Oryctolagus cuniculus: one gene and its partner. The protein of the gene in region 1 binds, or shares a complex with, the protein of each later gene. Links are inferred from orthologs where the notes say so. Each region holds a gene or a part of one and is shown on either strand. Other genes may lie near its edges.

The links.
Region 2: the proteins of GRK1 (region 1) and RCVRN are in contact, whole or in part, in an NMR structure (PDB 2I94), measured with the Bos taurus proteins. The link is inferred for Oryctolagus cuniculus from reciprocal best matches to the Homo sapiens genes GRK1 and RCVRN. Residues at the interface, in NP_776598.1 of Bos taurus: Phe3, Gly4, Leu6, Glu7, Val9, Val10, Ala11, Asn12, Ser13, Ala14, Phe15, Ile16; in NP_776590.1 of Bos taurus: Lys22, Trp31, Ser34, Phe35, Glu38, Cys39, Phe49, Ile52, Tyr53, Lys55, Phe56, Phe57, Tyr86, Leu90, Thr93, Ser94, Phe188, Glu189.

What each region holds. Positions count from the first base shown.
Region 1 is NC_091440.1:431,799-435,602, forward strand, and holds part of GRK1 (rhodopsin kinase GRK1), read right to left. Parts: intron 1,996-3,804; coding exon 1,871-1,995; intron 846-1,870; coding exon 644-845; intron 1-643. UniProt on the Homo sapiens protein: Retina-specific kinase involved in the signal turnoff via phosphorylation of rhodopsin (RHO), the G protein- coupled receptor that initiates the phototransduction cascade.
Region 2 is NC_091448.1:54,160,057-54,164,322, forward strand, and holds the start of RCVRN (recoverin), read right to left. Parts: upstream 2,930-4,266; 5' UTR 2,838-2,929; coding exon 2,457-2,837; intron 1-2,456. UniProt on the Homo sapiens protein: Acts as a calcium sensor and regulates phototransduction of cone and rod photoreceptor cells. Modulates light sensitivity of cone photoreceptor in dark and dim conditions.

The DNA of each region.
Region 1 (3,804 bases):
GCTCCCAAGGGTCCCTGGCCCAGGTCTGGCGTGTGTGACAGTACCACAGCTCCTGGGGTCCTGGCCAAAGCTTGGAGCGTGTGACAGTACCACAGCTCCCAGGGTCCTGGGCCAGGTCTGGGGTGTGTGACAGTACCACAGTTCCCGGGGCCCTGGGCCAGGCCTGGGGCGTGTGACAGTACCACAGATCCGGGGTCCCAGCCCAGGCCTGGGGTATGTGACAGTACCACAGCTCCCGGGGTCTTGGGCCAGGTCTGGGGCATGTGACAGTACCACAGCTCTCGGGGTCCCGGCCCAAGCCTGGGGTATGTGACAGCACCACAGCTCCCGGGGTCCTGGGCCAGGTCTGGGGCGTGTGACACTACCACAGCTCTCGAAGTCTCCAGCCCAAGCCTGGGGTATGTGACAGTACCACAGCTCCCAGGGTCCCAGCCCAAGCCTGGGGTGTGTGACAGTACCACAGCTCCCGGGGTCCTGGGCCAGGTCTGGGGCATGTGACAGTACCACAGCTCTTGAAGTCTCCAGCCCAGGTCTGGGGCATGTGGTGGTGCCACCGCCCCTGGGGTCCTGGCCCAGGAGTCTGGGGCGTGTGACAGGACCACAGCTCCCGGGGTCCCGGCCCAGGCCTGGGCATTAACCGTACCAGCCTCGAGCTGCCTCCAGTTGATGTCTTTGAAGAGGGGCTGGGTGCGGAGCCGGTCGCAGGAGCCGTCGCTGAAGCCCAGGCGCTTCTCGGGGTCCTTCTCCAGCAGTGCCTCGCAGAAGTCCTTGCTGGCTGCGCTGAACTTCTCGGGGTACGAGACGGGCTCCGACAGGATGCGCTGCTTGAGCTCTTTGTTCTCCACCTGCGCGGCAGACACGGGCTGTCAGACCCCGCAGCCCCGGCCTCAGAGGCGCACGTCTGTCCAGTGGGCTCCAGTGCGCACCACTCACAGCCACAAGCCCCACCGGGGCGTGCCGTGTGCAGCAGCAACGGCACCTGGGGAGTCCAGGCTGTGCACACCCCTCCACCCAAGAGCCCCCCCCTTCCCTGTGCTCGGTGCCCGTCCAGGACAGCACGGCTGTCAGAGTCCAGCGAGCGTGCCAGCTCCTGGAAGATCGGAACGCACTTCGCTCCGACAGCTGCGTGGGGGGAGCAGGGTGGGGCCTCAGGGGCTGGGACCCCCACCTCAGGGAGGAAGAGACTGGTGGGCAGGACCGCCAGGCAGAGGCCCCAGCGGCTCAGCCTTTCCAAAGGCCCTGCTGGTTGTCAGCGTCTGCTCCGGAAGAAGCCAGCGCTGCCTTGTTTGCCTGGAACGTAACACTGGTTTCCCCCCAACCCCCAGTGTACTCTTGTGGTTCTGGGCTCCCCGGGCCAGGGCTGGGGCAACATGGAGACCCAGGTGGACAGAACAGAAAGGGCACAAAGCGGGCATAACAGGGCAGGTGCAGCCCACTGGACATCCACCTCCCTCCAGGACGCACAGAGCAGCCGCTGGGGAGCCATGAGGCTCCACCTGGGGACATGGATCTGACGGTAGCCAGGCTGTGGGTTGGCCCAGGAATCTCCTGTCCCGACCCTGCTGGGCACCTGCAGCCACAACAGCTGAGTCACCGAGTCCCCTCAGGCTGCCCAGAACCCACAGCAGGAAGCCAAGAGACAGCCCCTTCTCTGCAGGTGTAGCTCCTGCCACAGCTGGCCTTGGGCAGGAGGGTGTGAGGCTTGGGCAACCCCACAGCAGACCTCAGGACCCCAGACCCGCTGCCTCTCCCACAGACGTGGGGGAGTCACCATGGAGGCAGGAACCACCTCCAGCATGTGCCCCTCACCCCCAGGCCTGGAAGCAGCAGTGCCGGGGCGGCCACCCACAGCCACACCGCAGTCCCCTACCTTCTCTCCTCGCGCCCGGAAGGGTCCTCTGGCGGCAATCATCTCGTACAGTGTCACCCCCAAGGCGAAGTAGTCCACGGAGAAGTCGTACTCCTCACTGCGCAGCAGCTCGGGGGCCATGAACCCTGCGCGCACAGAGTGAGCTCAGGGCAGCCGCTGAGCTGCCCTCACCCAGCGCTCACTGCAGCCCCGATGCCAGGAGCCCTGTGCTGCTGACACGTGGGGCCAGGGCACACTCGGGGTCCGCCCTGTGCACTCTCCCTGTCCAGCACTGCTCCCCGCTGCAAGGATCAAAAACGCCTCCAGACGCGGCCAGTGTCCCATGGTGAAGGAGCCCACTCCACACGAGGGCCTGCACCTGCTCTGCCCCACCCCTCACACCCAGGGCAGTGGGGACAGCACACAGCACAACAGCAGGTGTGGGGCTGGGGCAGGCAGGCGCAGGACGGGCACCGAGAGCCACCTCTGACCCCACTCTTCCAGGAAGGACACAGGACAGCTCAAAGTCCAGACATCCCAAGGGCTGACTGACGTCCAGAACCAGGTCCTGCATGCTTACCTGGAGCCCCTGCCCCTGACTGACCTGCACCAGCTTATCAGTGCCTGCAGTGCCCCGACACCTGCACCTGCACAGCCACAGGGCCCACGGCTGACACCTGTGCCTGCCAGTGCACACAGGTTGACCTCATATGGTCCCCAGAGCACTAAGGATCCAGTGCTGTCACTCAGCTGGGTGACAGAGATGCAGGCGATGGCCAGGGACCCACCCAGGCCCCACACTGCCCTTTGGCTTGGCAGGCGAATGCACTACTCATCCACCTGATTGCTTTTTTTTTTTAAACATCCTTGTTTGTACCAAAGTCGCTCCTGCACATAGAGGCCACCTCAGTGGGCATGGCCGTTTTTCAAAGCTGAGTGTTGTCCCAAGCCTTCTCCTCGGCCTCTCTCCCAACCCGACGTTGGGGCCCATGTGACCTGCACCTGTGTGTCTCCCCTGGCTCCTCGCCAATGTGGCTCTGGGGGTTGGAGCTGTGCCCCCAGCACCTGCAGACACTGGTCTCCCCTGAGACAGACATTCAGCCCAGTCACATTTCCAATGTGTTTTCTGGTTTTCCCAGGTGATGTGCTGTTTCCGTTTGCTTCGTTTTCTGGGTATTTGTCATCATTTCAACCCTAAATGCTATAACAGACAATTCTCTGATCCATTCAGTATTTCATCAGTCTCACCCACATGAGAAAGTCTTCCAGAACCTTCTTTCCCGCTCCAGTCTGGACCCAGGTGTGTGGCAGGAGCCTGAACCTCTGCAACTTTCTGGCCTTGTCCCAGGTACAGCCCCTCTGCGGTTGCTCCCTGAGTCTTGTCCAGCAGTTCCCTGAGGAAGACAGCTGAGCACTGTTTCCAAGAACTTCACACCTGGAAATGCCTTTATTTTAGACTAACGTCTAGCAGCTGGTTTGGCTGGGTATAAAATCTGGGTTGTGACTCATCTCTCCGCTCCCTTGCCTCCTTCCTGCAACATTGCCGGAGGAGATCAAGGCCACTCCGGCCCCTGCACCTCCTGGAGGCTGGTGGCTCCCCTTTGTCACTGCTCACATCAGCACTCCATGGGGTCCATGTCCACCATGTGCAGGGTGTTTCCACGTGGAAACTCAGGCTGCTCCCTCTGGGAATTCTCTGGAAATACGCCAGGGGCCTCTCCCCTCTCCACAGGTCTTCTTTCTCCGCAGGACGACTGCTATCCAAGCACTGGACTTTCTGGGTGGGTCTGACATCCATGTGCTTTGTCCTGTTTTCCACCAGTCGACTTTCTGGGTGAAACCCAACCCTCTCTCAGACCACACTGTGTCTCTCTCCTTCCTCCTGAGATCGCTTCCAGAGCACCCTGCTCCCGCAGAGGTGAGCAGTTGCTTGGGCCTGCATTCTTGTCCCCTCT
Region 2 (4,266 bases), on another chromosome or scaffold:
TCGGAACTCCTTTGGCTGTCCTGAGCCCTGGGCAGCCGGAGCAGATGGGACGGGTGAGTGCAGAGGGTGATCCACTGCCTGCCCCCTCTAACTCCCAACACACAGGGGACAGAGCTTCAGGGCCTTGGGAGAGTCCACAGAATTCATCAAGTCCTCGCTCCAGCCCCAGGGGGGCTACAAGGCTTCCTGCTGGTGACACAGGAGCTTGGTGTCCAAGCCGGCACTAGAACCCATTACTTCTGGCTCCCAGGCCAGTGCTCCGCCCATGACCTTGTGGTCTGGTGCACCTGGCACAGCTTCAGCCGCTGACACCTTCTCTCCCTCTCCCTCCCTCCCTCCCTTCCTTTTATTCCCTCCTTCCCCTCAACTCCCCTTCCTCCTCCTTTCTTTAAGGAACCCCAACTTTCAGCCTCTGCTGGCTTCCACAGCATCATTTAAGCGGCTCTGAAGTCTTGGTCCCATCCCCAGCCACCCAGACACCCCCACTGACAGGTGAAGGCAGCTGGCTCTGTAGACTAAGCCCAGCTGACAAGGGCTGCCCTTAGCAGGAGGCCCAAGCCCAGCACTGAGGAAGACCACAGGCTGCCGGATTTTGATTTTATTTCCAGTTCCTCCTAATATGGGTGAGAGATGTCTACAGATGACAGTGTGATTACAAATGCACACGCAAAAAATTCCTAAAATATGAAACACATCCCTCTTTCTAACAGGAATGGAATTGGGAAAATAAAGCAAGTGCCAGGGGCAGGAGGATTAAAAAGAATCAGGGAAGATATACTTTTAGAAGATGGAACTATTACTGATAGAACAGGGGAAAAAAATCAAAGCATCCTGATGTCCAAAAATATAGGCGTGTTTAACCTTGAGGCATTTCCATCAGATGGAATTCTAGGCAGCTACTGAGAATGCTTTCTGGGGGTGGGTATTTGGTTAAGGAGCTGATTGGGACACCTGCGCCCTATATTGGAGTGCCTGGGTTCGAGTCCCAGCTCTGCTCCCAATTCCAGCTTCCTGCTAATGCACACCCTGGGAGGCAGCAGTAGCTGGGGCCCTACCGCTCATGTTGGAGATGTGGACTGAGTTCCCAGCTGCCAGCTCAGCCAAGCTCCAGTTGTTTTGGGTATTTGAGGAGTGAATCAGCAGATAAAAGCGCTCTCTCTCTCTCTGCATCTCTCCCTTCATCTCTCTTGAGTAAATAAGTAAATAAATAAAGATCTGTCCTTTAAAAAAAAAGAGATTTATTCTCCGCCTGTGGCGTCAGCATTCCATATGGGCGCTGGGTTCTAGTCCCAGTTGCTCCTCTTCCAGTCCAGCTCTCTGCTGTGGCCTGGGAAGGCAGCGGAGGATGGCCCAAGTCCTTGGGCCCCTGCACCCACGTGGGAGACCTGGAAGAAGCATCTGGCTCCTGACTTTGGATCAGCGCAGCGCACCAGCCGTAGCAGCCATTTAGGGGGTGAACGAACAGAAGGAAGATCTTTCTCTCTGTCTCTCTCACACACACTATCTAACTCTATCTGTCAAATAATAATAATAAAATTTATTTATTTATTTATTTATTTTGAAAGAGTTACAGAGAAGGAGGGAGAGACAGAGACAGAGGTCTTCCATCTGCTGGTTTACTCCCCAGATGGCCAAAATGGCCAGGATTGAGCCAGGCTGAAGTCAGGAGCCAGGAGCTTCATCCAGGTCTCCCATATGGGTATCAGGGACCCAAACACTTGGGCCACCTTCTGCTGCTTTTCCCAGGCCATTAGCAGGGAGCTAGATGAGAAGTGGAGCAGCCAGGACACGCACTGGTGCTTATATGGGATGCATCAGCCTTACCAGCTACACCACAAAACTGGCCCCCATAAAAATCCTTTGAAGAATATGTAAACACTCATGATAAAGGAGTAACTGAAAAGCTGTGATAAAAATCATACGTGAATATAACTTTAAAACTATTCAAAACTATAGAGATAAAATGCCAGAAAGTTACATGCCAGTGTACTAAGGGTAGTTTTCTCTGTATGCTGGAGTTAAAGGACATTATGATTTCTGTGTCATCCGTCTCTAAATTTCACAAATGATTTAGATATCAGATACAAACTCTTTTCAAGACACTTAAAATATCCACAACAAACGCTTGGAGGATAGGACAAGACAAAGGAAAAGACAGATAGGAAGCAGCCGGAGGCAGGTGCCCGGGCAGAGCCTAAAGCTGAGAGAGAGAGGAAGAGAGAGAGAAAGAGAGAGAAAGGAGAGAGAGAGAGAAAGGGTACACATCAGAATTACCCAGATTCTGATTCAGGAAGAAGATGTAGCAGGGGACAGCGCCCAGCCCCACCCCCTACATGTGCGTGCTGGAGCCCCCTCCCTACCCTGCTCTCCTAGCCTTGGGCCTGCGCCCCTCCCTTCACCCCCAGGGCTATAGCCCAGCTGGCTACAGCCACGGGCAGGGCGAGGGCTGCACTCACCATGACGATCTCCAACACTTCGTTCTTGCTGATGGCGCCGTTGCCGTCCACGTCGTACAGGGAGAAGGCCCACTCCAGCTTCTGGCTGGGCTTTCCCGCCGTGGTCATGTGCAGGGCGATCACGTACTCCTTGAAGTCCAGCGTGCCATCGCTGTTGGCGTCAAAGCTGCGGAACACGTGCTGGGCATAGGCCTTGGGGTCGGCATCGGGGAAGAACTTGGCGTAGATGCTCTCAAACTCCTGCCGGGTGATGCGGCCGCTGGGGCACTCCTTCAGGAAGGATTGGTACCAGGTGCACAGCTCTTCCTCCGTGAACTTGGTGTTCAGCTGCAGGTCCTCCAGGATCTCCTTGGACAGCGCCCCGCTCTTGCTGTTCCCCATGGGTGAGGCTGGGTGGGCGCCGGGCGGGCTGTGCGTGGTCTCCCGGCTGCCGGGGCTTGGCGCTGTGTGAGAAGGAGACGGAGACGCTGAAGGATTAGGGGGATTTGCGAACAGTTCATCCCACTCTTTGCAGGGGGGAGGGTCTGGCAGGCTGGTCGTGGGGAGGGGGAGGGTCTCCAAGAACTGTTGGGATTAAAATAGGGGATCCGTTCATTTTGGCTTCCTGGAGGGTAGACAGGAAGAAGGTGGGAACCGTGGGAGACGACTCCAGATTTCTCTGCGTGGATGATGTGGCCTGCTTGTCTTCTGCACTGACTCCGGGATCTTAGGGGCCGCGGTGGGTCCTCATGTTGAGCCCCATATGCAGTGGTTAGGGGCACAGGCTCTGGGGCCAGCACGTTTCCTTCTGGGATGCCCTTCTCCGAATGCTTCGCTTCAGTCTTGGCTGAGATGGCACCTTGTCTGAAGGGCCTGGACTGACTGCTCTGTGTAAGTAGCACATCCGCCCCTAAGCTCGCAGCGTGCCCCAGACGGCGCCCACACCAGAATGCCAGCCTCGTGGAAGGGGCGGGCGTTCGGCCTAGAGGTGAAGACGCTGCTTGAGATGCCCAGGTCCCTTACGGGAGTGCCCAGGTTCAAGTGCTAGTTCTGGCTTCTGACGCCAGCTTCCTGCTCATGTGCACCCCGAGAGGCAGCAGGCGATGGCTCACATAGTTGGGTCTCTGCCACCCACATGGGAGACCTGGATTGAGTTCCCAGCTCCCGGCTTCAGCCACACCCAATCCTGGCTGTTGTGGGTGTTTGGGCAGTGAACTGGCAGATGGGAGCTCTCTTAATAAAAGGGAGTGTGGGGGGGGTTGCATCTCCATTGCTAGAATGCCAGGAAGGCTTTTGTCGGCAATAAATATTTGTTTAAAGATTTTCTATTTATTTGAAAGACAGAGTTAGAGAGAGGTAGAGACAGAGAGAGAGGTCTTCCATCCGTAGGTTTGCTCCCCAGATGGCCACAACAGCCGGAGCTGTACTGATCTGAAGCCAGGAGCCAGGGACTTCTTCCAGGTCTCCCATGTGAGCGCAGGGGCCCAAGGACTTGGGCCATCTTCTACTGATATCCCAGGCCATTGCAGAGAGCTGGATCGGAAGTTGTGCAGCTGAGACTAGAACTGGTGTCCATATGGGATGCCAGCGCTTCAGGCCAGGGCTTTAGCCTGGGGTGCCATAGCGCCGGCCCCTGCAATAAATATTTCTCTAATGAATGGGCATTTAAAATTTTTTTAATTTGAATGACAAAGACACAGAAGGACAGATGGAGAGACAGAAAGAGAGGTCTTCCATCCACTGGTTCGCTCCCCAAATGGTCCGCAATGGCCAGGGCTGGGCCATGCTGACGCCAAGAACCAGGAGCTTCTTCTGGGTCTCCCACATGGGT